4 linked regions of the Diceros bicornis minor genome follow. The protein of the gene in region 2 purifies or fractionates together with the protein of the main gene of each other region. This does not show direct contact. Links are inferred from orthologs where the notes say so. Each region holds a gene or a part of one and is shown on either strand. Other genes may lie near its edges.

Region 1 (7,952 bases), on a different chromosome or scaffold from region 2:
CATGCTGAGGCCGCGTCCCACATACAGCAACTAGAAAGATGTGTAGCTGTGACATACAACTATCTACTGGGGCTTGGGGGGGAAAAAAAAATAATCAAAACAAGTCAACACAAAAAACACGTTAGGCATAAAACTAAGGGGCAGAAATGTATTTTAAATTGAGCCCTCAGAATTACAAACTAAGACTTCACCAAACTAAAGTAGAAATTTCTACAGAAAATTTACAACGATTCCTCTCCTGAGCTTTAAAAACACATACACTAAGTCTGTCTGTCTCTAGTGATATTTGTTTGTTTGGCAGCTGGTAAGAGGTGCAGACTTTTCAGTAATTAGAAAGTCTATCAGCGTTCTGTACAAAGACCAGGAGCATGAACACAACTGATCCAATGAGACCATGGGGTGTTCATTTCATATAAAGGTTTTTATACAGAATCTATATCATAATAGGCCAAAGTAATTTTAGAAGAAAAGAGAGAGAAAGAGATACTTTAAGACTTTGCAACTTCTACTTCACCACCACACAGTTTCTTTCTAGAGTTCCCTCTTTGAAGGAAAAATGACTTCAGATTTGAATTTAAAAATTTGCGTCACAGGTTTCTTATCCTAAAATGTTCATTCCTATGATATAAATTTATTGAAATGAACCACTAAATACTATTTGTGCTCTCCAGCACACAGCTTTGATGGAACTAAAACCCACCTGAGTGCATGTACAGGACTTCTTCACTTGTAAAAAGTGACCTTGGAAAAATCATCACCAATTCTTTAAGTCCTGATTTCATTATTTGTAAAATGAAGGGGTAAGTATGAACTCGATGGTTCTCTCCAGCTGTAAACTGTAGAAATCTACATAGGTTTAGACTTAGACATGCTCAAGAAATAACAAGTTCAGAAATGAAAAAAGTTGAAAGAGGGCCTTGCATCAATCCAAATATAGGTCTATCTATGAAGTTCCCACGGCTAAAAAAAAAAAAAGTCCACAAACTTGGAGGTAAGGAAACAGAGAGAGTCAGCCCATACTCATTGCGGTTAGCTTTTAAGGATAAGAAATGATGAGGCCAGGCTGAACAGAAGCTCGAATGTCCAGTGTAGGTGCTGGGGAGGAGGTATGGTAAGAAGCTTTCAAAAGGGCTTCCCTCAGCAGTCAGATAAGTCCTGAAAGCCAACCAGAAGGGTCCTTCTCTGTGGCTTCTAGGACTAATATGGCCAAGCTCCGAAGTCCTTTGCTAAAAATAGCTGAAGGGAGCAGCTCAGTTTTGGAATAAGCCAAGGTCTATGCTATGCTCACATATGTATATTTATCATATAATGAGGGAGACTTTTCTATAACTCATTAGTCAAAAGAGAAGCAGATGCTAAAAGCTGTATTTATTCTGTTCAATGAAGTACTAAATTTTAGAGCACAATTTATATGAGTACAGGAACTGATCACACAAAAACATTTGCAGTCAAATGCTAGACATACACCATAAACATTGGAAAAACAAAGATAAAAATTATCCAACCCTGTGTCTCAAAATATACCTCAGATCACAAAATTTGGGAAAGGGGACACTAACCATTATTAAATCCAATCCCTTCATTTTAGAGATGACTAAAAGCCTCCAGAGAAACTTAAGAAATTCAAGAGAAACTTAAGTCTCAAAACGAGAAAAAGGTGGTCTGAAGACTAGGGTGGAAACAGTAAAAAAATAAATAAATAAAAAAATATTCTAAATAATAAAGTACTGTAATGTCTGGCTTAGGAGGAAACAGGAATAAAAACAGAAAAACTTGTCAATACAGTAAAAATGAAGACAACGTACAAGAGGCAAGAATAAAGATCCATGTGCACGCTAAGTTCAACTAAAGAAAATGTACTTTGAAATCACTATAGTGAACTCTTTAGCAGAAAACGTTTCAGTTACAACGTACTAAAATTTTCGGCAATAAACTTATAAATCTGGGGCTAATCTCCCAAGGAACTCTGTCCTCTGCCATAGCAACTGTCCTATAAGTAAAGCCCATGCAGAAAACAGAGCTGATCGTCCCAGAACATCGCATTTTTGCCCCAGCTGTGTACCTCCATTCTCATCGGAGAGAGAACGCCAAAATGACAGCACGTCCTCATGACCTGTCAATTAACAAGATCACACAAGCCCAACCGCCAGCAGTTCCGTGTGCCTGCCACCTGTTAGCCCGCTCTAGAGAGAGCCCCCCAAACCGTGCTCCAGCAAAGAACCGGGAACTGGGAACCCCTTTGTTGTTCCCGAACTACGGAAGCTACCAGAGTTCAGTCCAACTCAGCGCCTCCAGGCAAAACTTCCCCCAGACCGGGTAAATCGACCCATATCCGGGACTAGGTAAAGCCCTCTTCTAGCTAAGAAAAGGCGGGAGAACCCCAGCAAAGCATGGAAGACACCTACTAGTCGCGGGAGAAGGTAGGGGTCTAAGGTGAGGAAAGTTGCGGGTCGAGGACGTAGGACTCTACAGAGAGACAGGTTCAGTTTCGCAGTGGAGGAGGGTGAGCCCAGAGAGGAGGAGCGCCGTCCCGCCCGGTGGAAGAACAGCGAGATCCCGGGATCGGGGGTCGGGGATGAGAGGTACTAAGGAGAGAGGAGGCGGAAACGGAGAGGCAGTGGCTGAGGGAAGCGCTGAGGAGAAAGGCAAGAAATCTAGGCGTGTAAGGGGCGGATGAGGCTGCGGAAAAACAGCGAGGCGAGAGGTACGCGGAGACGAGAAAGGCTAAGCTCAGGTGAAAGAGGCGAGGCCAGCGTGAGGGAAAGGGCTGAAGTGAGGGAAGCACTGTAGAGACAAGGGACAGGCAATGAGAACCCTCACCCACAGGGACCAGGAGAGAACTCTTGACCGGCCCCTCTACAGGCTGCTCTCGACCGGCCGCACTCAGACCCTGACGGCGGCGGAGACTCACCCAAAGACGCCAGAGGCCCCACAGCAGGACATAGGGACCGGTCCAGACCCACAGCAAAACCAAGCGGGTGGAGGAAACCGCGGCGCTAGCGTGACCCGGATGCACATCCCTAGGAACCGGAAGTCAGCGGCCAGGGTCACCTCACAGTCCACACCTCGTTCCGCCAGAAGCTTCTGAGCGCATGCGTCAAGCGGAGCGGGCGGGGCGGGGCGGAGCGGGGCAGCGCCTAGACCCCGCCCACTCTGTCGGCCCGGGAGCCCCGCCCCTGGTTACGCCCCACTCGGCGCCACCGTGGTGCTTGTGCGGGTGGGCTGGTTTTCCCTGCGTCCGGACCGTGGTGCCACAGAGGCACAGGCGGCTCCGGTAAAAAATACTTAAGCGCTCATTTTTCAAGAAGGTCTTTTAAAATGCGTGTAATCCCTTCCTAAAGCGAACGTGAGGGGAAATGCTGGCTGCATTTGGTAGATTTAGAAAAATTGTGGGAGGAAGAATGGGTGGGAAATTTTAGAAGACACTTGGGAGAGGCTAGCCCAAGGTGATGTTTTTATCCCCAATATTAGTTTAGTCCTAATACTGTATTGAGCTTACAATTAACTTCTATTTCGTGCACATTGTTTTATGTAATAATTTTATCAGAAACAAAAATTTTTAATACTTCGTTAACTTTAAATTACTACCCAACTATGGGAAAGGAGCAGGACTGAAGTCAGGTTTTGTGGGGGCCTGAAGTTTATTCAATTTGGGGGTCCTCTTTAAGAAAATTCAAAATTACAAATAAAATATTAATTATAAAAATGAATCTTTAAATGAGAAAAGAAATCATAAATTACAAATTTTTAAAATTTCAACAACACAAAATCCAGAAAAGTTACACACTCAACTGCTTAATACACCTCTAAAATACTTTTTTCCTACATTTTTTGGCTATATATTGTTTGATCGCCTCTTCCTGTGATAACATTTGCTAAGATCTTTATTAAGATCTTTGACTCCTCTCTCTCACACCCCACGTCTAATTCAACGGCAAGTTCTGCAGGATCTGCCTTCAAAAATTTATCCAGAATCTGACCATTTGCTGCTTCTGTTGTTACAAGCCACAGTCATTGTGATTGTTTGCCCTTTTTATACACTTGCCCTCCCACAATCTATTAATACAACAGCAGCAGACTCCTGTTAAAACCTTAATCAGATCGTGTCGTTTGTCCAGTGGATTCCTATTTCAAAGTGAAAATGAAAATCCTGGGGCCGCCTCTGTGGCATAGCAGTTAAGTGCGGGCACTCCGCTGCTGGTGGTCCCGGTTTGGACCCTGGGGGCACACCAATGGACTGCTTGTCAGGCCATGCTTTGACGGCGTCCCATATAAAGTGGAGGAAGATGGGCACAGATGTTAGCCAAGGGCCAGTCTTCCTCAGCAAAAAAAAAGAGGAGGATTGGCATGGATGTTAGCTCAGGACTGATCTTCCCCACAAAAAAGAAAAGAAAAGAAAAGAAAATGCTTACTTTGGCCTACAGGACCCTCAAGATGTGACACTCAGCAGTACAGCTAATCTCATCTTCTGCCCTCTCCATTATCCCTCCGCTCAAAGCACATTGGCCCCTTTTTTGTTCCTCAAGCCTGCACATAGACTCAAGCCCTTTGTGCTTGCTGATCCCTCAGCGTGGAATGCTTTTCCCTCAGATAACTGCATCATTCACCCTGTCACGTCCTTACATCTTTGTTCAAATGTCACCCTCTCAATGAGCCCTTCCCTGACACTATATTTTAAATTGAAATACTACCATCCTCTCTGCATTCCTAGCCCAATTCCCTCCTTAATTTTTCTCTAATAACATTTATCCCATCCAATAATTTGCTGGTGAATTTGGTTTAATGTCTCTCCTCACCACCCCGCCCAACGCCCCCCCCCCCCCCCCCCCCCGCCTCCCCCAGAATTTAAGCTCCATGAAGGCACAGATGTTTATTTGTTTTGTTCATGGATGCATTTCAGCACCACAAGAGAGCCTGGCGCATTGTAGGCGCCCCATAAATGTTGAACGAAAGGATAAATTGCTCATTTACTTTGGGATAAATTGCTCATTTTCTTTGTTTTTGCGCAACTGAAACTATGCGAGCTTAGCCACCAACTCCACCAGGGGGAGCCCATGAGTAACCAATGTGGTATCTCAGAAAAGTTACTCCTGCAGCATAAACATACACATAAATTAAAACAGACCTACAGGAAAGCACGCAAAGTCCTCCTCGGAGCAAAGGGTGCTGTACCTACTAGCAATAAAAACCCTCCGATGTCTTCACAGTCCCTTAAGAATAAAGTCCAAGCTCCTTACTATGCTCCTTACTACAAGGCTCTTTTTGGCCTGTTCGTCCTAACTCTCAGACGTAGTACCCACGCTCCCTTCCCCTCACATACTGAGCTTCTGTCATCCTGTCATTTCTGCTTCTTGTACAAACCAAGCTTTCTTGCCTCAGGGCCTAAGCACATACCATTCCCTCTCTTTCAACACTCTTCTCCCAAACTTCCAATGAATGGTTCCTTCTGCTGCTCAGTTCAATTTCACCTCTGAAGGTTTCATACAGGCCTCCTATGACCTCCTGTCTCCTGTCTAAAGTAGCACCTCCTTCCAATATCTTATCTTTTCTTCATGGTCCCTATCACCATCTGAAATTACACTGTTGTTTGTCACTAGAAAGTAAGCTCTACAGGAGTCTTTATTTCTGTTCACTGCTGGATCTCAGCACCAGAAGAGTGATTGGCATATAGTAGGTGCTCAATAAACACAACCAGTAATTACTAATATTTGTTGAAGCTTCACTATGTGTCACTAACTGTATAGTCATTATGTATAGTAAATACATGAGAGTGCACATTTCTCTTTTAATCCTCCCAGCAACCTTGGGAATTATTATGTTATCTCCATTTTCAGATAAGGAAACTGAGGCAAGGATAGGTTAAGCAACTTTCTCAAGGCCACACAACTAGAAAGAAGCAAACCCAGGACTTGAATACAGGTCTATCTGACTTCAGAGCCCCTGATTTTAGCTACTGGGCCGTGTTCCTCTTAAACTACAGGAAGAGTAATAGGTAGCCAAGTACGATCATTTAGTTACTAGTTTCTTTTCTCTGATTTCATGCATTTTTGCTTGCTGTCACAGTCAGCAGGAGTGGAAATGTTTCTTAGGGTTCTTTTCCTGCCCTACTGCACTACTCCTGGGGACATATCTAAAGAAATATGGCAAGAATATGATTTGTTCAAGCTGGCTTGTAAGTACTTAGACATTTGTTATATTATTTTGTATTCTTTCCTGTAGATTTGAAATATTTCATTCTAAATTTAACACAAAAGAAGAGCTATTAAAATAGTCCAAAATGTTATAACCAAATCTTTCTAAACAAAAGCCAAAATGTAAATCAAAACATAAGCCTAATTACATAAAAGTGTCTAAAAATAAGGCCTCTGAATTATATATTTCCATTAAAAAAGGATTAGTGAGTGTATTGTCAATGTTTTATAACAGGTATCAATTTAAACTCTCCTGATTGATGTATCTGAACTACAATGGTCTGGATTTTGTTTCTGTTGATATTCTCTATTGTACTTAAAGCAATATCTTATTATATTCATGACAGTTGAGGTTCTACAAACAATCTATAGTTGGTGAGATTATAAAATGATGCAACTACTATGGAAAACAGTATGGCAGTTCCTCAAAAAATTAAAAATAGAACTTCCATATGTTCCACCAAACCCACTTCTGAGAATATATCCAAAAGAAGTGAAAGCAAGGTCTCAAAGAGAAATTTGCACACTCATGTTCATAGCAGCACTATTCACAATAGCCAAGAGGTGGAAGCAACCCAAATGTCCATTGACAGATGAATGGAGAAACAAAATGTGGTATATACATACAATGGAATACTATGCAGTCTTTATTTATTTATTTATTTTTTAAAGATTTTATTTATTTATTTTTCCCCTCAAAGCCCCAACGGATAGCTGTATGTCATAGTTGCACAGCCTCTAGTTGCTGTATGTGGGACGTGGCCTCAGCATGGCCGGAGAAGCGGTGGGTCCGGTGCACGCCCGGGATCCGAACCCGGGCCGCCAGCAGCGGAGCGCGCTCACCCAATCACTAAGCCACAGGGCCGGCCCTATGCAGTCTTTAAAAAGAAGGAAATCTTGTCAAATGCTACAACATAGATGAACCTTGAGGACATTATGCTGAGTGAAGTAGTCACAAGGACAAATACTATATCATTCCACATATATGAGGTATCTAAAGTAGTCAAATTCATAAATACAGAAAGTAAAATGGCAGCTACTGGGGCTGAAGGGAGGGGGCAAAGGGGAATAGTTTAAGTTGTATAGAGTTTCAGTTCTGCAAGATAAAAAGATTCTGGAGATCTGTTTCAAAACAATGGAAATATTTTGTACACTACTCAATTGTACACTTAAAAATGGTAAAGATTATAAATTTTATATGTTTTTTACCACAATAGTTAATGAATTAATTAAAAAGCAATCTATAGCAATCTGGTCATTGCTATAATAAGCATGCAGGTCGCTTTTTGCCTACTTGGCCCTGCGTAGAGATGGTTAGAGTCTTTCTCACAGTTTTGTCCAAATTTCTACCAGCAAGAAAACTTTGGAGTAGAATAAATTCTCATTTTCAAGATATGCAGTAACCATTGCTGTCTTCAGAGCAAAACATTTCCCGTCTCCTGAATATATTGTCTTCACTTTACCCGCAGGCACCTTTTCCACATGGTCACTATTATTGTTCATACTTTTTCCCCAACAAATCAGTATCATTTGGTAACATCCAAGATCTCTTGCTTTGTAGAGAATGATTCTTGAACAAAACTCAGGTGTTTTAGGAACACGTCATAGAAATGCATACAGAATTAAAACTACACCAGCAGAAATAAACAAATAGGACATTTTCTGCATCCTTACCATAGTCAGCTTTGTATTTACTAAGACCACACTTGAAGTGTATTCTGGTTGTCTATTGCTACAGAACAAACTATCCCAAAATTCAGT
Region 2 (7,323 bases):
TGTTGACCGAAACGTTGTTATGAGGTGCATGACTGTGCGCGCGTGCGTGTGTGTGTGTGTATAAGGAAATTTATTACAAGTAACGGGTTCACAATATTATGGAGGCTGAGAAGCCCCACAATCTGCAACTGGCAAGCTGGAGACTCAAGAGAGCTAACGTGTAGTTCCAGTCGGAGTCTGAAGGCCTGAGAATCAGGAGAGCCAATGGTGCAAGTTCCAGTTCAAAAGCTGGCAGGCTCAATACCCAAGAGCTGATGTTTCAGTCTGAGTCTGAAGGCTGGAAAGAACCAACATCCCAGCTCAAGCAGTCAGGCAAACGGACTTCTCTCTTATTTAGTCTTTTTTTTTTAGTTTGAATCCAAGTCAGGCAGGAGGAAGTCCCACTTGCTCAGACTTTTTGTTCTATTCAGGTCTTCAGCTGATTGGATGAGGCCCACCCACATTAGGAAAAGCAATCTGCCTTACTCAGTCCACTGATTCAAATGTTAATCTCCTCCAGAAACAGACACACCCAGAAATAAAGTGTGACCAAATGTCTGGGCACCCCATGGCTCAGTCAAGCTGACATAAAATTAACCATCACAGAAACTATCGTTCAAATCCACCATTCAGGATGACAGTAGCAATTCACTTAACTCACCCCAGAGACACAAGGCCAGCCTGGTCTCCTGGAAGACGGGGGTCTCAGTCACTAGAGAAGGCCCATGCATTTTGTCCATGGTGGTCATCTTGAGGAAGTGGCCTCTCAGTATAATGCCACGTGATATATGTGGCTTTAATAAAATTCTCCTAATAAAACTACACAGGAAGTATCCAATATCTAATGTTTTTGTTCACCCAAGCTCGAGGAACTTTGAGTCATGGCATCTGAGTCAGAGATAAGCTTAACTACCTACTCCAGCCCCTCTGCTGACACATGAGGCAGCCCAAGCTCCAGATGCTGGGTGACTGACCCTCAGTGCAGGACAGGAACAGAACCCAGGCCTCCTGACGCCCAGTCTAATTTTTTTCAGTATCCCACTGGGCGTTTTTTCCTGCAATTTTGATTTCTTTCAGTACTGGAAGTGGTTTAACAAACATTTTGGGTTAAAACATGCACTATAAGGCCTCCTTGAAATATTCAGGTGTGCCCCCAATAGTTTAGTGGTTAGGACTCAGGCTCTCAAGCTGTCTGGGGTCAGATCTCAGGACCATCATTTATAGTCTGGGAAACCTTAAGCAAAAGTTCCTTTGATCTCTCCATGCTTCAGTTGATCCATAAAAATGAGGATAGTGTCAAATATGTATACACTGCTTATGGTGTGCAGGCTTCATAACAACCCTGCAAGCAAGCTACCATCACATCCTTGTTTTCCAGTTGTGGAAACTGAGGCACCAAGAGGTTAGGTGACTTAGCCAGGGTTGCACAGCTCACGGTTGAGGGACAGTGAACTCAGGGATGTGAACTCAGGCAGCCTAGCTCCAGTCCCTGCACACCCACTAGCCTATCACACCCGCCTTATTTGTAAATGAGACTGCCAACGTGTGTGCCTAGAACAGTGCCGGGTGGGCAGTAAGCCAACCTGCTCCTTATTGATACACTGCTGTGTAAAAGCATTTTGAAGCATGGAGGATAATAAACACTGTGGAAACCCAATTCTATATATTCACTGATAATCCTTAAAAATTCAGGGTGAGCTATATCTGAAAAACACTGTGAAATAATCTTATATAAATACACAATGAAGCGTTCTTCATTGAGTTTGGGTTTATGGAAGTTTAATTGTCAGACTAGGGTTTCCCATACACCTAAGACTGGCCTCAAGTGTTTTCTGGTTTAAATCACCTTCAGGATACCAAAGCCAACTGTCTCTAACACATTATTACAAAACACACACAAGCAGGGTTAACACAAAGGTGTCAGAAGTATTTAGTGTCTCGTTTTGAACATAGTTCTCCTAATTATAAGCCAGAACTGTGAGAACTGTGACTTATTACCTCCCCAAATAAGTGCAGGCCACGGAAGGCAGCTGTATCCATTTCATTTAACCTGAGTTGGCCTAGTTGGAATGGAAACCCAAACGGCGATTTGAAAGTAAATATAATTGATTCTTCATTTAAAATTGGAAACAACATTTAACACTCTCTTCCCACAATTTCAGGTATGCTAAGATATCATACGACTGCAATCTAAGATTAGAATTTTTTTCATTTAAAATAAGCCCATTTTTTAACCTAGTGGTTCAGTTTTTTAATTTCCGCAGGAGTCAATGCGTGAGGCCACACCCGCAAGCTCCACTTCTTTCTAGTGGAGGGAAATGCCCCCGACCCCCTGCGCAGACTGAAGGCAGCCGGCCTGCGTGCCAACCCCCGACCCCGGGGGACAGGGGGCGGTCACTTCCCTGCGCTCCGACCCGCGGCCACCCTTTGCCCGGCGCTAGCCCGTGGGTGACACAATCTCTCCTCCACACCCGGCGGTGACCCAGCTCGCCAGGACGAGGACCGCGGTCCTCCCTCCGGGGATGGGGCGGGGGTCCCTCCGGCCTCCAGTACCCCCGGGGCCTCCCCACCACGGTTCAGCTTCCTCCTCCCCGGGTCTCCCCCACTGCTCGTCTCCTCTCTCCCCTGGTCCCCCTCACTGCTCAGCTGCCCCTCCCCGGGTGTCCCCAAGGCTCGGCTCCCCTCTCCCGGGGTCTCCCCCTGGGCTAGGCTCTCGTCCCCCCTCTCCCCGGCTCCTCCTCAGTGCTCAGCTCCCTTCTCCCCAGGCGTCCCCGCGGCCCGGCTCCCTGTCCCCAGGCGTCCCCGCGGCCCGGCTCCCCTGTCCCCAGCCTTGCCGGTGGAGCCCCGTGTCCCTCGGGTGGCCGGGGCGGCGGGCACTCACCGCGCGGCGGCGGGCCGGCTCTCGCGGGCTGGCCGGGCGGCGGCTCCGGGCTGCGGCTCCGCGGCCGGCCGAGTGGAGCGCAGCGGCTCCGCGCGGAGCGCCCCGCCGTGTCATTTGACCATATAAGGAGCCGCCCGCCTCCCGGGCGCCGGCGGCGCGGGCGCGGGGCGCGGGGCGCGGGGCGCGGGGAGCGGGGCGCGGGCGCGGGCGCGGGGCGCGGGGAGCGGGGAGCGGGGCGCGGGGCGCGGCGCCCCTCGGCCGCCCCGGGGCGCGGGCGCACGGCCCGGCTCTTTGTTCGCCTTGGGCTTGTCCGTCGCCGCGGGGCCCTCGGGGCCTTAGTGGTGGTGACGCCGGGCTGCGCCCCCGCGTCGGCTCCCGGGCTCCGAGTTTGGGGCGAGGGCCGCAGGGGCAGAGGGCCCACGGCCGGACTCCCCGGCCGGCTCCGGGACCGCGAGGCCGGCCGAGCCTGAGAGGGCGCGGGGGGAGCGCGAGGGACGCGCCGCGGCCACGGCTCAGGTCTCCGACGGCAGGAAGCCCGCGCCCGGGATGTATGTGCACGGTGGGCTTTTCTCCGCCTTACCCTGCAGACCCCTCTGCCACGAAGTGAGCCCAGCAGACGGATGACGCCAGGTTCTTTGTTCCGATAGAGAGGGGACGGGGGAAGGTCCAGTCCCCAACACTCCAGGGGGAGAGGGCTGTTGATACCTTCTGTTCTCCACTCCAGGGCGGGAAAAGAAAAGTGAGGTGGAGCAAGTGCCTCCCACACTCAAAGCCCGGGCCCTGTGCCTGAAGCCCACACTTGATGGGGACAGATGGCAGGACAAGGGGCACGGGCTGAGTCCCACGCATGGGAAAGGGGGCGTCGGGAAGAAACATTTGCTCCTACACCTGTGTCTGCACCAACTCGAGAGCAAACATTTGATATAGTTCTTTAGTTCTATAAATTTTCTTCTAACTGCTTTCGCTGTGTCACACAGATTCTGATGTTGTTTTCCATATTATTATTTTAAGAAATTCTACAATTTAATTTTGCATTTCCCCTTTGGCCTAAAGGATAGGGGAACATATTAAATGACCCTATGGGGATGTAATCAGCAAAATCCAGACTCTGGAAGCAAATTTATCCAGTTTCTACAATAATGCGGCAAAAACAAAAACAAAAAAAAACAAGAAAGAAAGAAGGAGAGAGAAGAGGAAGAAACCGATAGATTAAAAAAAAACAACCAACCGCAGTGAATGGATGGACCTTATTTAGATTCTGAATCCAAGAACAAAATATTAAAAAAATAAATTTTTATGAGACAATCTGGGAAAATGTGACACTAATAGGATATCTGATGACAATAAATTATTACTTTATTTTAGGTGTAATAATGAAATTACACACACACATTTTTAAAGCCCTTACTTTTCAGAAATAGTGCCAAAATATTTACCTATTATGTCTAGGGTTGTTTCAAAATAACTTGAGGTGGAGGGAATGGATGGGACCAATATATACGCAATAGTATCAGCCATGGATTAATGGTAACCCTTGAAGCTGGGTGACAAGTATGTGCGAATTCATTATACTAGTCTTTCTCCTTTTGTAATGCTTGAAAAATTCCATAATGAAAAATGTTTTCAACTACAAATGCATGTACCATTTGCCGTTAACCCAGCATTTCCCCTTACAGGAAATTATCTCACAAATAGACTCACTCATGGGTAAATTGATATGCATCCAAGAGGAGTCATTGTAGAATTGTTTGTAATAGCAACATATTGGGCCAGGTTATGTATTCATCAATTGGGCCTAATTAAATATCTTACAGTACATTCTAGAATTATTTCTATGTGCAGCTGTTAAAAAGAACAGAGTAGCTCCATTTATTGATTTGGCATGATCTCCAAGATATATCAACCAAAGAAAAGTAGAGAGCTCTCTGTAGACAGTAACCAACCATTGTCAATACAGAAAAGGAGGAAGGAGGGGACGACAACATATACACGTAATAGTGGTGCCTCTGGGGCCATCTGGGTGGCTGGAGGTCCGGAGTGGAAGGGAGATTAAATTTTACTATATACCCTTTGGTTTCTTTTTAATTTTGAGCTATATAAATGTATTACCCACTCAAAAAATAAAAATGTTTTAAAAATTAAAGCAACACATGCTCCTTCGTTAAGAAAAATAGGAAACAAATTTGTTAAACTGAGTTTATAGAAAGTCACAGGAGGTTGGCTAGAGAAACAGGAAGGAGGAATGCAGTTCTGGCTTACTGACATGTGTCCTTTTCTGAACAATTTTAATCAAAGGACAAACTATTAAAAAATAAATTTTCACAAGACATTCTCATAGAATGTATTTTGACAAGTTCTATCTTGTTTACCACTGTATTCCCAGGACCTAACTCTAGTGCGTGGCACATAGGACGCACTTAATAAATATAGATGCTGAATGAATGGATGGACTACAGAAGAGTTGTTTAATATGTGACAAGTCTTGGGGCCGGCCCCGTGGCTTAGCGGTTAAGTGCCCGCGCTCTGCTGCTGGCGGCCCGGGTTCGGATCCCGGGCGCGCACCGACGCACCGCTTCTCTGGCCACGCTGAGGCCGCATCCCACGTACAGCAACTAGATGGATGTGCAGCTATGACACTATCTACTGGGGCTTCGGGGGTAAAAAATAAATAAATAAAAATCTTTAAAAATAAAAAAAAAAAGTCACATAATATGTGACAAGTCTTTCATTTTGTAATTGATTATTTTACAGTATAGCAGATAGACTATTATAGAAATTATAATGCTATCGATGGCAGTATAGCTTGACTGTTGGATTCAGGCCTAGATTAGAATCCCTGTCCTACCTATGACTAGCTCTGTGGCCTCAGGCAACCACAAAACCTCCCTAACCCTCAGTGTGCTTATAGGCAAAATGGGCTAATAACACATACTTTCAAAATCATTGGGAAGATCCTTTGAGATGATGCATATACACCATTTACTACTGTTAGTACAGTCCTTGGCACATAGTAGGCCCTCAGTAAATATTAGTTTTATTCCATGGTATTTTATTTGATGGTAAAGGAAACATGAATCCAGAATAAGAAGGAAATGTGAAGGTAGTCAAGAGGTACAAACTTCCAGTTACAAAATAAGTAAGTCCTGGGCTTGTAATGTACAGCATGGTGACTATAGTTAATAATACTGTATTATATATTCAAAAGTTGCTAAGAGAGTAGATCTTAAAAGTTCTCATTATAAGAAAAACATTGTAGCTGTTTGTGGTGATGGATGTTAACTAGACATATTGTGGTGATCATTTTGCAGTATACACAAATATGGACTCATGTTGTACACCTGGGATATGACATAATGTTATATCTCAATAAAATTTTTTTTGTGTGTGTGAGGAAGATCGGCCCTGTGTTAACATCTGTGCCAGTCTTCTTCTATTTTTTGTATGTGGGTCGACGCCACAGCATGGCTTGACGAAAGGTGTAGGTCCACAGCCGGGATCCGCGCCCACGAACCAGGGCCACTGGAGTGGAGTGCGCTGAACTTAACCACCAGGCCACTGGACTGGCCCCCAAAGATTGTCTTTTTCAAAGAAAATTCTCTGCTATAGATAAAAGGCTAGTTCATGGAAGGAAAAAAATTAAGAAATGATATTTCCTGGGAAAGGGATCAAGTGGCAACTCTGAAAGGTTATTCAAGTTCTTCTCTTGTTTATTTCAATTCTCCTGTAATTCCTTCACCACCCAACACTGCGCCGACCTCCTTCTTCTTTGGGGTGGGGGTGGGGTGTTCAGGGAGAGGAGCAGCTAGGAACAAAGGAAAGAGAGGGAAGACCGTATGGTGTAGGTCAATGGCTCTCTGAAGTGTGGTCCAACCAGCAGCACCAGGACCACCGGAAATGTGTCAGAGGAAAACATTCTCAGGCCGGCTCTGTGTTTTAACAGGACTTCCAGGTAATTCTGATGACTGATAGTGCTGAGGTAGGATACCCCAGAGGGATTCCAACTCTGGCCTCAGTAGCTTACAGAAACCTAGAGATGCTAGTTTCTGTGGGGGTGGGGGAGTGGGAACGGAGGCAGACTAAACAGAGACCAGGCGCTGAAATGCTCAGATCCAATCGCAGGTAGTCCTTACTCTGTCGGCTACTTCTCCTGAGGAAAGCACAAGATAGAAGCCTCACAAGGTGAAGTGTTCCCGTGTGTCTCAGGGATGCAAACACTGGAACTTCACTCTCCTGCCAGAGGCCCTGAGGGAAGGCAGAGCTAGGAGTGTGGCCTGACTGCAGACCCCGTGGTGGGGGATACGGGTGGGCATGGGAGGCTGTGGGCATGGGCACGGGGCCTCCTCCTGACCGTGGCCACCCCATGGGCCCCAGGAGACCTCATCATCACCACGAAGAAAGGGAACCCGTAAAACATGAGCTGGGGGTCAACATCAGTACCTAACTGACCATTTCGATGAAGATTT
Region 3 (7,720 bases), on a different chromosome or scaffold from region 2:
TTCTAACACTGTAACAAAATTAACCAAGACATTTTATCCTGGAGGTTTACGCTGAGCTTTCCAGCATTAAAGACAAATGCATTTCTTACATCTACACGCCACACTCCCACAGGCAGCATTTCCTTCAAATCTCAACACAGGGTTTCAGACTAAGTCTACACCTCTAATTACTGACTTCTCAAACAATGCTGTTCACTGAACAATTTGCTTTATTACTTTGCTACATTCTTACAAATGTGTGAGTGAAAAAGGACACTAAAATAAGCTATTGTGTATATATAGGGTACAAAAGGTTTTGAGTCCATCTTACCTTTGAAACATTCTTAAAAATCGTAAGCAAACAGAAAAGGAACTGCAGGATTTTTCTATGTATATAAGGCCTTAAACTAAGACTCAGTGGGATGCCATTTTGAAACTTCCCAGCAGGAAGTTCAGTTTGGTCAGAGGGCGGTTTAGGTGCTTCAACTAATATTTTTAACTGACTTGAAAGTTAGTCTTGTACTTTTATAAAAGAATATACCAAGTCCATAAACTAAAGCATTTCAAAATGGCAGGCTACTATTTCTGTTAATCCAAGAAGCATAAACATCTTACAAAAAATTCGTGTCTTAAAATATCTGAGCATTCAATTAGAATTATTGAGGGGCCAGCCTCGTGGCTTAGCAGTTAAGTGCTCGCGCTCCGCTGCTGGCGGCCCGGGTTCGGATCCCAGGCGCTCACCAACGCACCGCTTCTCCAGCCATGCTGAGGCCACGTCCCACATACAGCAACTAGAAGGATGTGCAGCTGTGACATACAACTATCTACTGGGGCTTTGGGGAAAAATAAATAAATAAATAAAATTAAAAAAAAAAAAACTATTGTGGACAAATTCCCTTCCAGAGCATTGAGTGCCAAAGACCTGTTACCTCATAGAATGAAATAAAAGATTGAAGTTCATAAATTTAAGCTGGTTGAAGAGAAAGCTTTTCATAACCAGATCAGAATCTAACCAAAAACATACTTGGAAAAAGCAACCTGCAACGATAACCTGAGATTAGTCTTTAAGCATGTTTTGAAGAGATAGTAAGCATTTCCTCTTCTGTCTTCAGTTTTTTTTTTTTTTCAATGACTTAATCCAAAATTAGGAAGATGTCACAGTACTTAGTCTGTCAAGATCCATGTTAAAGAGACCAGGATTTAAACCCCCAGCAGAAATTTAGAGACTAGCAAGAAAGAAACTAAGCCAGGGATCCACTGAGTGAGTTAGAAATCAAGAGCATTTCACCACAGTGCCACAAAACCCTGCCATAAAACTACTAAGACTACAATCTTAGGCAAAAAGGGGAAATACTTTCAGTTACTAATATTCAAGTCTTTGTGCCTTGATTCTAGACTTAAGTTTCCACTGAAAGACTCGGGACTCACACTTGTTGAAAAGGGACCAACTTTCCAAACAAGTTTTATCAACATGCCACCATTTCAGTCAAACAACTAGATACCTAAAACTTCATGTATCATCAGCTCATTTGCTCCTTAGACAAGGTAACAATTTAATGTCCTAAATAAAACACGATTTAAACTGTTACCATATATCTTATTAATAGCTAAAATACTAGTAGCCACGTCAACCTCGGCCACAGAACACTAACACATTAAACTCGAATACCTCTACAAAAAACAAGTTTGTTCTTAACCTGTTTGACCTACTTCCTAATTTTTTACTTGTCCTCCCATTTTTTCATCCATGTATCCCTATTCCTTAACAAACAGATTGTCGTAAGAGAAATGCTCAGCATTTTTTTCCACAAAAAATAATTATATTCACTCAATCATGACTTAAACCAAATCCCCCCTGGCAATCGAATTATAGAGAAATACTGAGGGAGGTGAAGTCTACAGCTTTCAGGAAGAAAACAGACTTTTTAATAGAGTCCTAAGAAATGCGATGTTTGAGTGACTTCGTGGGAAAAGTTTACTTCTCAAAGTTTATTTTAAACACCACTTTCAAGCCCGCAGATATCAAGCACCTTCTCTTTTTAGCCCACAAAGCTTACTCCTAGTGGGGGTAACTACTGGTGTGAGCCGGGATGGGGGAATTCTGCAGCAAGGGAGGCAGTGCACAAGAATCTTGGTGTCTGGGAGGAACCCCTAGGAGCCCTGGAGTAAATCTCTCAGCAGCAGCGGGGCCTGCAAGTGCTCAGCGCACGAGGGGGACACTTCCCAGGAGCAGAGCCGCCAGCGGAGCACAGACACCGGCCCAGGGGGTGGGGGCCGAGTCTGGAGAAAGTGCGAGCGCCCGGCGCGCGAGTGGAACAAAACCTGTGGCAAGCAGCAATCAGGAAGTGCTGGCGCCCGCCGCCCCTCCCACCGGCGGACACCTGAAACACCCGGGTTTGACAACGTGCTGGGGGCGGGGGAGGGGGACTGGCGGCTCCAGGTCGGCGGGCGAGACCTGGGAGCCTGCAACTACTCCCCACACGGCCCCTGGCCCCGGGGGCTAGGCCTCGGGAGCCCATGCCCCCTGCACCGACCGGGCAGCCCGGAGAGAAAGGGGCAGTTGAGGAGCTCGTGGGGTCCGAGGAGGGTGCAGCCCGCGCCAAACAAGGCCCGGCCGCCCGCACTGCCGCCCCCGCCGCCCGCGGAGCCCCCAGGCCCGGGCCGGGACCACCCCGGGGCTCGCCCCGCGCTCTGCCCTCCGCTTCGTGGAGCCGCGGCGCCGGCCTCTTCTCCTCAGAGCCCGAACTCCCCGCGAGCCCACGGCAGAGAGCCCGCCCTCTCCCGCCTCGCCACTTCCCTGTCCCGACTGCCCCTTACTCCGCGAGGCTCCGGGAAACGCTCCCCATGGCCCCGGGACCACCCGCTTCCTTCCCCACCGGCGCCCGCGTTCCGTGGCTAACTCCGCCAGCAGGCCGCACAACACCTCACCTCAGGCGGCTCCGGCGGCGCTGGACACAGGAAACTCCTGGGTCCCCGACTCCGGCTCTCCTCGACCCCCTCTTCGGTTAACTCCGCTTGTTTCTCTACAAAATGGCGCCGGAGGTCGCGCGCTCACGTCGCGGCCTTTCCCCTCCCCGTTCCCATTTCATCATTCGCTGCCCGCCCGAGGAGGGATGGTCCCGGCGCCAGCCAATGACCGTGCCGCGCCCGTGGCGCCCGCCCAATCACCGACAGGTGCCCGCGGATTTAAACCAATCACACACTATCACTTGCAGAAGTCAAGGAAGAAACCAGGCTCCTGCTAGCAACTACCAATCCGGACTCTAGTTCGCGGGCTTTGGCCAATTGCCGCTCACCGTCCCTAGGGACTGGAGTCGGAGCCCTCGCGCCTGCGCTTGAAACGAGGGCCAATGAGGAGACGCAGAGAACTTCGATTTGGGGCTTCATGGACTTCCCACCTGCCCTCGAAGTCTTCGGCCAGTGGGGGCTTGGCATTGCCTCTGAGAAACAATAAGGGAGGGGGCCCATAAACCCTCGCCACCCTGAGTGGGAACTACTTGGACTTGAAGTGAAACAGCCTTTCCCTACTCTTCTTCCTCTTTCGAAGTGTCAAGTCCGGTAGACTGCGGAACTTCCAAATCTTAAACATTCCCCTCCCCTCTTATCCCTTTGGCGGGGACCGGCAGCTACCAGAAAGCAAGCCAGGCTGTAACTAGAGTGGTGGCGCTTTGCATCCCGGGATATGTAGTTCCCATTCCTGTCGCAAAAGTAATGCGTCTTCTCCGTCGCTGACTGCGCCCTAGGAAGAGCAGTGCATGCTGGGGAATGTAGTCTCCCAGGGTCCCACTTGATTCTAGCTTGTCTCACTTTTAGCGAGAGAACTTTCTCTCCTTGTTCTGCCTTTTGAAGGAAAGACGCTTTACGGAGAGATAGGAAGCTAAGGTTCCCTTTTTGGCTTATTCCCCGTGTGCAGTATCAGAAGGGATATCTATGCCCTTCGCTCTCAAGAGAAAAAGCATAGAAACATATATTTTGCTGTGGTTTATTATCTACAGTAGATCGTAAAATTTTATGGTCACCTGTTCCCAGATGAGGGTAGGAGAACAGAGAAAGCAGTGTTACGCGGTTGGCTCTTTTACCTTATGAAAAAATATGCCTTTCTCATCATCCTGAGGCTAGTCTCAGTAGCTTGTCTCCTAACCATCTGTCTCATACTACCTTTTGTGCCCAAAATACTTTTTTTATTGTAGAAAAAACACATAATATAAAATTTTACCATCTTTTTTTGTGTGTGTGAGGAAGATCGGCCCTGAGCTAACATCCATGCCAGTCCTCTTTTTGCTGAGGAAGATTGGCCCTGGGCTAACATCCATGCCCATCTTCCTTCGCTTTATATGGGACGCCACCACAGCATGGCTTGACAAGGGGTGCATGGGTACGCGCCGGGGATCCAAACTGGCAAACCCTGGGCCGCCACCACAGTGGAGCGCGCACACTTAACTGCTTGCACCACTGGGCCAGCCCCAAATTTTACCATCTTAACCATTTTTAAGTGTACTGTACAGTACTGTTAACTATATGTATATTGTTGTGCAACAGATTTCTAGAACTTTTTCGTCTTGCAAAACTTAAACTCTATACCCATTAACTCCTCATTTCCTCCCTCCAAAACCTGACAACCGTCATTCTACTTTCTAAGAGTCTGACTACTTTAGATACGTGTTACAGATGGAATCATGCAATATTTGTCTTTTATTGACTGGCTTATTTCACTTAGCATCATGTCCCAAAAATAGGGTTTTTTTTTAATTATTTATTTATTTATTTATTTTCCCCCCCAAAGCCCCAGTAGATAGTTGTATGTCATAGCTGCACATCCTTCTAGTTGCTGTACGTGGGACGCGGCCTCAGCATGACCAGAGAAGCAGTGCGTTGGTGCGTGCCCCTGCTCCGAACCTGGGCCGCCAGCAGCGGAGCGCGTGCACTTAACTGCTAAGCCACCGGCCGGCCCAACCAAAAATAGTTTTTGACACCTGCCTTTCCTTGATTGGAGGCCAATTCTTTCAGCAAACATTTACTGAATGTCTTGTGTTTTCAAGCAACTGTACAAGACCCAGGGACCCCACGTACAGGAAGAGCAAGGATTGCTTCAGTCTTATTCATAGTGTATTCCCACCACTTAGCACAGTGCCTGGCACATGGTAGACATGTGAGCAAATAAATGCAGAAAAATCAGGAAACAGAGAAATGGACTTACAACATTATAATGTCAGTGGTTAAAAGCCCCTTAAACAGACCAAGGATGAGGAATAAGGCCCTTCTATACATTGTTGCTGTATAAAATTGGTAAAACCCCTATGGATAGCAGCATTTTGTGTGAGTTTATGAAAACTGAAAATGCACAGACCCACTGACCTAGTAATTCCATGTCTAGGAATTTATTCCACAGGTCAACATTGAAAATATGCACAGAGATGAATGTATAAATTCACTGACACGTTGTTATGGGGCCCCAAAAGATTGGAAATAATAGGGAAGGGGTTAAATAAACGTATGGTACTGTCATACAATGGAATACTATAAAGTTTTTAAAAAGATTGAGGTAAATCTATATGTACTGATGTGGAAAGATTCCAAGATTTATCGTTAAATAAAAAAATTAGGTGCAGAATAGAAAAAATATATATATAGCATAATCAGTATGTTACCATTTGTGTAGGAGAAAATAACTGTATCTATATTTACATATGACGAAATGGGTGAAAAGGTTTGGGAAGATACGCCTCCCGCCAACTGACACCAATGGTTACCCCTGGGAGGGGAATGGGATGAGGAAGGCTAAAGGGAACTTTTACTTTTAATTCTATATAGTACTGTACTACTTGAACTTTTTACAAGGAGGATGTATTTAAGTTTTATTTGTATAATTTAAAATAATTTTTTTAAAAGAGACAGAAAGTGATACCCATAGAGTTCAACTATCCAAGGTCGGCTCTGTAATTCTACGTAGTTCAGACCTCAAACATAGATCTCCTTTTTTTTTTTTTTTTGTGAGGAAGATGGGCCCTGAGCTAACATCTGCCAATCCTCCTCTTTTTTTTGCTGAGGAAGACTGGCCGTGGGCTAACATCCATGCCCATCTTCCTCTACTTTATATGGGATGCCGCCACAGCATGGCTTGCCAAGCAGTGCATCCATGCACCCTGGGATCCCAACGGGCGAACCCCGGGCCGCCGCAGCGGAACACGCGCAGTTAACCCCATGCGCCACCAGGCCGGCCCCATAGATCTCCTTAAATAAGATAAGTTAATATAAAGCTGAGTTGCCTTTCCCCACTTCGGCCTGTCTTTGCTAGGAAAATGAATTCCTACTTATACGGAGGATGCTCTGGGAGACCCTTGAGCCCACTACCAGCCCCTCCATGGGAGCTGCACCAACACCACTCCTAGGATTGACCTTCCATGGGGACTTAGCCAAGTACTTGCAGGATTCACACAATAGCCTGGAGATCAAAGTCCTCCAACGGTGTGTTGTCAGGAATTCTAGGTGGCTTGTATCTTTACTAGAAAGCAGAGACTCGTACAGTGTTTACAAACTGGAAGGAGTAGCAGAGATCACCTGGTGCGCCTTTTTTCTTTTACTCAAAGACATAGTAGGAAATCATGCCCAGACAAACCATTTTACAAGAGACCTTCACAAAGGATTCCCTGAATCACCTTATAACTCAGCAATTATGTGTCCTAGGGTTCAAACGTGTTTAGAAACAGGATAGTTCAGCCAGCTGTTAATTACTCACCTGGCCTCATTCCTCAGCCTTCTTCTTCCAGTCCTTACCCCGCCCCCCCCAATTAATTGTGCATCCCAGCCTCTGGGAGAACTTTACAAACTTTTTCCATTGTTTCCCAAAATAACCTGGAGGGGGAAATGCAAGTGGTAGGAAACAAAATTGGATTGAATTGGGTTGGGTGGAGGCAAAAATACCTAGAAGACAAAGGACTTGGAGACTTGGAGATCTGTGCAAACTATGTTACAAAATGTTTGGAGGTGCTTTGAAGAAGGGTGAGCTGAAATACAAGGCCTTATTGTTCCTGTTTTTCAGTCCCATTTATCAGATGAGTCAGTAACTTCAATTTGCAGTGGTTTTGACTACCTTACAATTCTTTATCCTATTCAAGGCACCTCATTGACAGCCCAACTAAATTCAGATCTCCTTCCAGCCCATCATCACTGCCTAGTGTCAAACCTCCTGACTCCCTGGGCATCCAGGTCTTGGTGTGACTTTGGTAGCTCTGAGCTGGGGGAAGGATGTCCAGGGAGGCACACTGCAAAAGCCCACTGAGAAATTCAGAAACCCAAGTCCTATACCAGTCTGTGCCCCTAACTTTCTATGTAGCCTTGGGAAAGTCACTTCCCCACTCTGGACCTCCTTTTCTCCCTTCACTATTCTGAGGATATTGTGATACTGGCTCAACACAAGGTTGACATAAGGGAAGCCATAGTGTACAAAAGAAACCCTGTCGTAACTTTGAAGGACCTCTGATTAACTAGCCCAGACATGCTCTGTAGATTTTATGGCCCCTCCCAGCTGCTATAAGTTGATAACTTTGTTCTCTTGAGTTCCTTAGGAATGTGATGACCCCCGGGGAAGAGAGTCTATGCTGATAGCCATCATCAAGGACAACTGAAAGATCAGGGTATAGGGTGTTGCTCCGATCTCTGATGCACATCCAGTAAAACAAAAGACTATCAGGAACTAAGACCAGATGTCTGCTCCCACCTGGAGGTCAGATGGGTGCCCCAC
Region 4 (7,458 bases), on a different chromosome or scaffold from region 2:
GGAAAAGAGAGAGAGAGAGAAGGCAAAAGCGTTGGGCGTTGGCAGCAGGCTTAGCCGGGAGAAGTGTCCTACTTGAAGCAGAGTGTGGGACAGGAAGAGGGAACTTCAGAAGGGGGGTTGGGGGAGGTCAAGGGAGGTCCCAGCAGCCATATCCTCCACTCTTCCCAGACTACTCTCTAACTTGTCACCTAACCCCAAAGGCCTGGAGCTTTAGGGAGCTGCCCACCGCGCCCTCCTCTGGCAAGCTCCCCCAGACACCCCACTTACTGCTCCCAGTGCACCCCTTGAGTCCGGTGGCCCTGCTCTTGAGGTTTCTACTCACGAGCAGAGCAAGAGGCCGCAAAGTCTGAAGTCTCTCCGTGAATCACCTCATGGGAGACGGGAAAAACCCGCTCCTCCCCAACCTGGGGCTCCGCCCCACCGCCTGCCTCCCCCTTCCCGCTCACCCTCCTTCCCTCCCCTCCCTCCTGCAGCTGGGAGTGGTTCCCTCTCCCCCCTCTTTCTCCCTCCTCCTTCCACATCCCTGCCCTACTCCCGCCTCCCTCAGAGCTGTCTCATCCAAACACGGAAAAATAAGGAATAAAAAGTAAACATCTGGAATACATTTTTTTCTTTAATTTCTCAATCGCTTTGGCTTCAGCTTGGAATTTGATGAGGTAAAGCCAGGGCCTAGTCCTGTTGCCATAGCAATGGCCTCCCACTGGATTTCCAGAGCCTCGCCAAGAGGAAGGAGGAGCCGGCCCAGGCCTGGGCTGGGGGAATGGGACAGGGCTTGAGAACATCCGGGGGCTGGGGTGGCTTGGGGGAAAAACTCCCTGGGGTTCCCCCTTCTAGGACAGTCAGGGTGGGACAGCCACAGCCTACGAAAAGGGGCTATGTGGGCATCACTCACCAGCCTAGGGCTGGCCTGAGGGGTTTTGAGGGGGACAGAAGAAATTGTAAACCAAGTGACACTGCCTTATAGTGAAAGCCAAATGGGTGCCTCTCCTCTAAGCTCATGACAGGAGTTCTGGGGTCCGATATACCAGGATGCAAATGCTGAGTGGGTCTACCACTTTCTAGGCGTGTGACTTCAGGCACGTCGCTTACTTCTCTAAGCCTCAGTTTCCCTATGTGAAAAATAAGAGTTCCTGAGACTGTTGGATCACATGAAATGATGCATGCAAATTGCTTAGCACAATGCCTAGTGCATAACTGTCCAATAAATGTTGGCCATTATTAGCATGATTCCATTCAGCGTCACCAATGAGCAAACATCCTTGGTCACCATCTTCTCCTCTCCCCAAACTGTTCCTTCACTCCCGCAGACCCAAGTCATGTCACCTGTTCTTCAGACACTCAACAACCTCCTCAGTTCCCATCCTGGCTCCTGAAGCACCATCCCACCCACAAGAACCACCCAGGCTCTCCAGCCTGGGGGACAGAGGCCTGCCCCTGTTGTTCCAAAGGAAGGAGGATGTTTCCTATCACCCAGTAGGCACAAAGTCGGTGAGGACAACCCAACCGTCTCCAACCTGCAAGGGGCACTGCCTTCCTCAGAGTCATCCCCTCCAGCTGGGCTGGGAAGACAGCACCAAGTCCTAACAAGGGACCTCAGTGCCCAACCTTAGCAAAAGCCCCTCAGCCCTCACCTTTGACCCTGAAGCAGCTTGTTTCAAAGACAGCAGAGAATATAAAGAGGGTAGGGAGAAACCCAGGACCATCAATCCCTTTAGTTAGCCAGCTACCATGGAGGACTGCTCCTCGTGGGTGGGTGAAGAACCGTGCAGAGCCAGTCTAAGTGTGCGTGGGGGGAGGGGCACATGACAGAAAAAAGAAAATTAAAAAAACACAAGACTGTTTCCTTGTCCTTGAACATTATTACAAGGGACACGGTGTGGGTGGTTACAAATGTGGAGGAATTGGCCCAAAACCAAAAAACCTTTTCACCTGGGGGCCTGATGGGCACCTCTGGGGTAGGAGGGGCTGCAGCAATGAAGTGGGGGCTCGGCTTCCCCAATTGAGGAGGGGGCCACAGCAGCTCAGAGTCCCCAGCCCGGAAACCCTGGTGACCAAGACCGTAGCCAAAAGCTGTAGAATCACAGCGGCTCTAAGCACTCCCCACCTCCAGGAGTCAGGGGGAGACTAGCCGAACCCCGGGAGCAAAGGCCGCCAGAAGGGCTGGGGAGAGGCTCGGCAGCTCCAACTAGGGCGCAGGGATGCAACGAGGCATCGGCGCAGGCCGGGTCGCCCCTCCGGACCCTGGGATCTCCGGCCGGATCCGGGGCCAGAGAGGTCGGCAGCGACAGCACGTACACTGCTGGAGGAGGGAGGGCCAGCGGGAAGACAGAACAGCCCGGGGCGAGGGGCCGTCTGGAGGGGCCCAGTGGGGAGCTCTGGACACAAGAGGGGACGGCGGCAGCCGAAGAGGAGGAGAAGGTGGTGGTGGTGGTGGAGGAGGAAGGGAAGGAGGAGGGGGCGGCGGCAGCAGTAGCGGAGGACCTGTGCGCGGGATGTGAAGCAGCCGGCGAACAGACCAGGCACTAGGGACGCGGGCCGGGTGGGGGCGGACTGGGTGGCTGGGGGCGTGCCGAGGGAGCCGGAGGAGGGGGCCAGCGTGCGCCCTGGGGAAAGGGAAGCGGGGGTCCCTCTAGCAGCTCCGCCCGCCCCGGGCCCCGCCTCAAGCCCTCGCCCCCTCCCCCCTTTCTTCTGGCTCGGCCAGCACGAGCTTCAGACCGTGCATCCTCCGCCCCCGCGCACACGCGCCAGCTCCGCGGTACCCTTGCTTCGCCCCCGACCCCTGCAAACTTTCCTGGTGAACCCCCCCCTCCACCTCAACTCGAGGTCCTGGCTGGAAAGCGCCCACTCCTTCCATGCCTCTCCCCCGTCCCCAGTCCAGTCCCGGACCCCGCCCCCTCCCTCGCCCTCCTGCCCGCCCCCGCACACTCACGCGCTCCCCCAGAATCCGGCTCCGCTCGGCTCGGGCTCGGCGCCCCGACGCCAGTCTCCGCCGCGGCTACCGCTGCCGCCGCCGTCACCGCGGGACCAAGCCAGTGCGAGCCCGGGCGGGGCCCCGCCCCTGGCTCCGCCCCGGCCCACGCCCCCAGCGCGCTTTATGAATACCCATGAGCCGGCGACAACCGGGCGTGGAAAGCCCGAGCAGAACTCGGTAGATCGTATGCAAATAGGCGCAGCCCAGGTGCTCAATTATTCATGAGGCTTGCAAATAAGGGGCCCGCCCCGGGCCCAGACCCCGTCGAAACTGACGCAATTCAGCCGCTGAGAGCGCTCGGGCAAAATGGCCACCGAGACGCCTGCCTAGAGAGGAGACCGCCTTAGGACGGCCCAATCCTCAGGCTGAGCGGCCTGTACGGATCGCAGCACCATAGAGTCACGGCCGGAAAGAAGGGAACCGTTGGCCGACTGCAGAGGCTTCCTGTGGCAAACACCTGAGAACCTACGCAACGTGGCCACTCCACGTGTATAAATTCAGCCTTAGAGCCACCGTCGGGAAGGCCGGAAGGTCTATTTTCCTCGCTCATCCTCCTTGTCTCTTGTTATGCCCCCTTCCCAGATAGAAGTTCCTCCCAGCCTCAAAATTGGGTATGCCCCTTTCCTCCCATAAGCTCAAAAGCTTCACACATTGGCCATACCTTGCCTTTTAGACTGCACTCCGCCCCACACACCGCTCATCCTCCCCGACTCTGCAGGCTCAGGTTTCCATTCCCCTGGCTGCAGGGAGGCTCGTCGATCCTGATTCCATTATGTGAAGCCTGGGAAGACCCTTGACTCATAGGTGATTAGCGATGGAGCCAAGAGCTGCCTCTCCTTAGCTGGGCTAATGGAGTGGAACTGTGAGAGAGACTTCCTAATCAGATCAGCTCTCATTTCTAGACTCTCAGGTGGCCCATCCCGGCAGAAGAGGGTGAAAACCAATGCTTGTCCAGCCGGGAACAGAACAGGATGTACCTGGAGACTTGCTTCCCGGCTGACCAGCAGGGCCCTGCCCAGTCAGAACAGTGTGGTCAACAACACCAAGAAAAGTGGGAGCATTACAAGAGGGCCAGAGAGAAAGCATAAGGACATGGTTTCCAAAGTCAGTTCCCTTTATTAAATGTTCATTTTCACAGACCAGAAATACAAAATAAAAGTAGAAATCTGCCCCAGTTAGGAGCTACAGGCTTGACCCCACACGACCCCTGCTGCAGCAACTTGAACAGGACAAGCAGCTATATCCCCAAGGTCGGGAGAGTAGGAGGAGGACTTGGATCCTGCACTGCCCTGCTTCCCACCCAATCTCTCCCCAAATTATGAAGAGCCAGCCTCATGAAGCAGCAGAGTAAAACGCCTCCCCTGCTGCCCCAGGCAAGTGCAGACCACCAGGAGAGCTTGTTCAGATGGCACAGAATCCAAGGACAACATGTGATATGAAGAGAAACTGGTACCAAAATATGGGTGGGGAGCCTGGGGGGTGTGACAGGGCAAGCCCAAGGAGAGAGAACTTTCCTCCTCTCTACTCATCAGATCCTGACGCCGAGTCTTCCGAGCTGGGGGGAGTACTGGCTAGTTCCTCTTCTTCAGAGTCCTGAAAACCAAAGGTCTCTTAAGGGGAAAGACCACCTCCTCAGTGGTGAAGGGCCCCCCAATTCCCTACCCCCCTCCCTAAGCTCCAGCACTAGCCTTCAGAACCTCAGAACTCCACCTGTCCACTCCATCTCATTACTCTTATAGACCAACCATAACCCCAGCCCAGAAACCTCTGTCCTCACCCACCCACCCTCGACTGAGATGCCCCTCACCCTTCCAGGCCCACAGCCCTCAAACTCCTGCCGCACCTCGCTCCGCCTTCTCTTCTTTTTGCCCTTGTTCTCTCCTGAAGAGCTCTCATCACTGGACACAAACTCTTTGCTCTTGAAGCTCTCACTTAGCTGCCTTGGCGACGACTTGGACGATGAGCCCCTAGAGGGCGTTGATTTCTTTTCCATCTTTACCTTGACTTTCTTCTTCTTCTTTGACTTGTCCCTATATTAGCAAGAGGGAAAAGGCACTGGGCCCTCCAGTTGCCGCCACCAACAAGGCCAAACCTCTCCTAGCTTTAACAGGGCCTTTCTCCATCCCAGCCATACTGCCCATCTCACCCTAAACATAAATATCAGCCATGTCAGCCCCAAGTGGCCCAAAGGAGAGCATCCGAATAACCAGAAGAATCAAGGGCCATAGCCTGAAGCAGCATCATATGCAGAACTTACTTGACATCTCTTGCTTTATCTTTAAAAATGCATGTGAATTATACTCCATAATCATATTTTTTAATACCCCTATACTTTCAAATAAAATTGACCCTCTAGAAAAATGGGCCATATTTATCCAGTGATGTCAGGCATTAGCACGTCGCCCATGCTTGAACATGCCTACTGAGATTGGAGAAGCACTGCCCTGCTGCAGTCAGGAGCATATCTATTATCTTTAACACCCCAATTCTCAACCTGGAAAAATATCCACCAAAAAAGGCAGTTACTGGGCCATTTTGTTCTTGACACTCACCTCTTAGAAGACTCACCCCGGCCCCCTTCATATTCTTTCATGGCTTTTTCATATTCCCTCCTGGCATCCTCAGCCTTGCGATCCCACTCCTGTCTCACACACACAGAAAAAACAGAAGAATGAGACCTCTTCCCTGATGCAGGCAAAATCTATCAAGAAAACTTCCACCAGTGGGGCCCCCTGCCCCTTCGATCAGTTAACAAGGTTCACCACCCCTCGTCTCTGCTACTACTCACCTCTTTCTTCTCTTTGGACATTCCCTTCCAGATCTCGCCTGCCTTCTTGGAAAGATCCGTGATACTGATGCCAGGATGGTCTGACTTGATCTTCTCTCGGCTGGCATTGAGCCACAGCATGTAGGCAGACATGGGCCTTTTGGGGGCATTGGGATCCTTGCCCTTCTTCACCTACATAAAAATGAACCCACATGCCTTCAGCCGTCTATTTCCCACAGAACCCCACATTCTCCCAAAGAAATTATCTGGATCACCTACTTGGAGGAAAAAAATGGAGAAAAGACTAAATAGCACCGGGCTAGACCAAGAGCTCCCTAAAAGCAGGGACCATGTCTTCCTCCTCTCCGCACCCCAGTGCCTAACTCACTAGGGGCCCTTTCCTCGGGCTCCTGGGATAGAAGAAGCCTGTCTCCTAATTCAGATTTCCCAGAAGCTAATTATCTCAAGGAACAGAGAGAAAAATTTCCAGGAAGATACTCCTCAAGGCCATAATCACTGGCTACAAAAAGCAGCCCCAGGAGGACCAATCAACAGGTCTGGCTGGTGATGGGCAGGAAGAGGTGAAGAGAATGGCTTCCCCAACACCCTCCCATTTAGAGGCGAGTCTGCACCTCCATGGGCTTCTTGCGGCTCTTGCGATCTTTGGCCATCTTGGCCTTTTTAAGCTGCTTCCGTTTCTTCTCATCCCGGTCACTGTCACCCTCATTACTGGAGGAGCTGGCAGAGGCATTGCTGTCAAACCTGCCAAGGAGAGTGGGGCAGAGACTCAGGGAGGGAGGACAGCACCCCACAGCCCCAGGCCAGGAGGAAAACAAGACCAAAGATACCTGCCCAGAGAGGGGAGAGGGAGGAGGACCACAGGACAGCCTCCACCCTCAGTCCCCAACCCTGCTTCCTCCCCTTCGCTGAGGTGGCTTCAGCCATCCCTCTCCAGACCCAGCCATGACAATGGGTTATTTGTTGAATTAATCAAAGAAAAACAAATGAACCAACGGACTTCAGCTGCTCTCTTTGGTCATGGCCTAACCCAGCTCCAACTCCATCCCCGTGCTCCTGGGGACAGAAACGCTGTCTCATCTTGCCAGGAACCTGCCCCAAGTCCACTTCTCCACCTCCTTTGAGTTAATCATCTTAACCTACTGTGTAGTCTTTTCTGACGAAGAGAGAATTCATTACTATAAAAAGTGGGGAAAACCAACTTAAGTCCAACCCAGCACATACCCACATAACTAAGTCCTACCTGATACAAGTGCAACTTCTCAGAGATGGAACTACCTTATATGTATATGGTACCAAACAGTTCTCAAGGCATTTTCACAAGCATTTGCTTACTGACCTTCATAAGTATGTGGCAAGCAGAACTAATGGATGCCTAGAGATTTTTTTTTTTTTTTTTTTGCCCAACATTCATTCCCAATTCTTCTGAATTAAGAGTTCCAATTTTCTGTTGGGAACCACCTGGCCCCCATTCAGGAGGGGCTCACCCCAACCACAGGCTCCAAGGGTGGGTACATGGCCTGGTTCTGGCCCGTCAAAGCACATGCTAATACCTCAGACTCAGGAAGGGGCAGTAACCACGCGTTTACTGCTACTCTGAGAGAAGGGCACTTCTGGGTGTTAAACCAGTAGGATGAAGCCTGCCCAGAGGTTCTGAGGGTCATTTAGCACTGCCTGGAGCAAACCAATCTAAATATAACGA

Evidence for each region.
Region 1: the proteins of FHL2 (region 2) and EYA3 purify together in Homo sapiens (affinity purification with mass spectrometry; 3 studies listed by BioGRID and IntAct, with this or other methods). This does not show direct contact. The link is inferred for Diceros bicornis minor from reciprocal best matches to the Homo sapiens genes FHL2 and EYA3.
Region 3: the proteins of FHL2 (region 2) and CNOT1 purify together in Homo sapiens (affinity purification with mass spectrometry; 3 studies listed by BioGRID and IntAct, with this or other methods). This does not show direct contact. The link is inferred for Diceros bicornis minor from reciprocal best matches to the Homo sapiens genes FHL2 and CNOT1.
Region 4: the proteins of FHL2 (region 2) and TNKS1BP1 purify together in Homo sapiens (affinity purification with mass spectrometry; 3 studies listed by BioGRID and IntAct, with this or other methods). This does not show direct contact. The link is inferred for Diceros bicornis minor from reciprocal best matches to the Homo sapiens genes FHL2 and TNKS1BP1.

Annotation. Positions count from the first base shown.
Region 1 is NC_080752.1:43,545,630-43,553,581, forward strand, and holds the start of EYA3 (eyes absent homolog 3), read right to left. Parts: upstream 3,014-7,952; 5' UTR 2,912-3,013; intron 1,645-2,911; exon of another isoform or gene 701-1,644; intron 1-700. UniProt on the Homo sapiens protein: Tyrosine phosphatase that specifically dephosphorylates 'Tyr-142' of histone H2AX (H2AXY142ph). 'Tyr-142' phosphorylation of histone H2AX plays a central role in DNA repair and acts as a mark that distinguishes between apoptotic and repair responses to genotoxic stress.
Region 2 is NC_080779.1:8,314,254-8,321,576, reverse strand, and holds the start of FHL2 (four and a half LIM domains protein 2), read right to left. Parts: upstream 3,016-7,323; 5' UTR 2,975-3,015; coding exon 2,861-2,974; intron 1-2,860. UniProt on the Homo sapiens protein: May function as a molecular transmitter linking various signaling pathways to transcriptional regulation. Negatively regulates the transcriptional repressor E4F1 and may function in cell growth.
Region 3 is NC_080771.1:11,898,236-11,905,955, forward strand, and holds the start of CNOT1 (CCR4-NOT transcription complex subunit 1), read right to left. Parts: upstream 3,014-7,720; 5' UTR 2,908-3,013; intron 1-2,907.
Region 4 is NC_080770.1:16,630,802-16,638,259, reverse strand, and holds the start of TNKS1BP1 (182 kDa tankyrase-1-binding protein), read right to left. Parts: upstream 3,010-7,458; 5' UTR 2,930-3,009; intron 333-2,929; exon of another isoform or gene 268-332; intron 1-267. Other genes in the region: FACT complex subunit SSRP1, read right to left, coding at 4,493-4,564, 4,815-5,001, 5,524-5,612, 5,760-5,930, 6,371-6,500.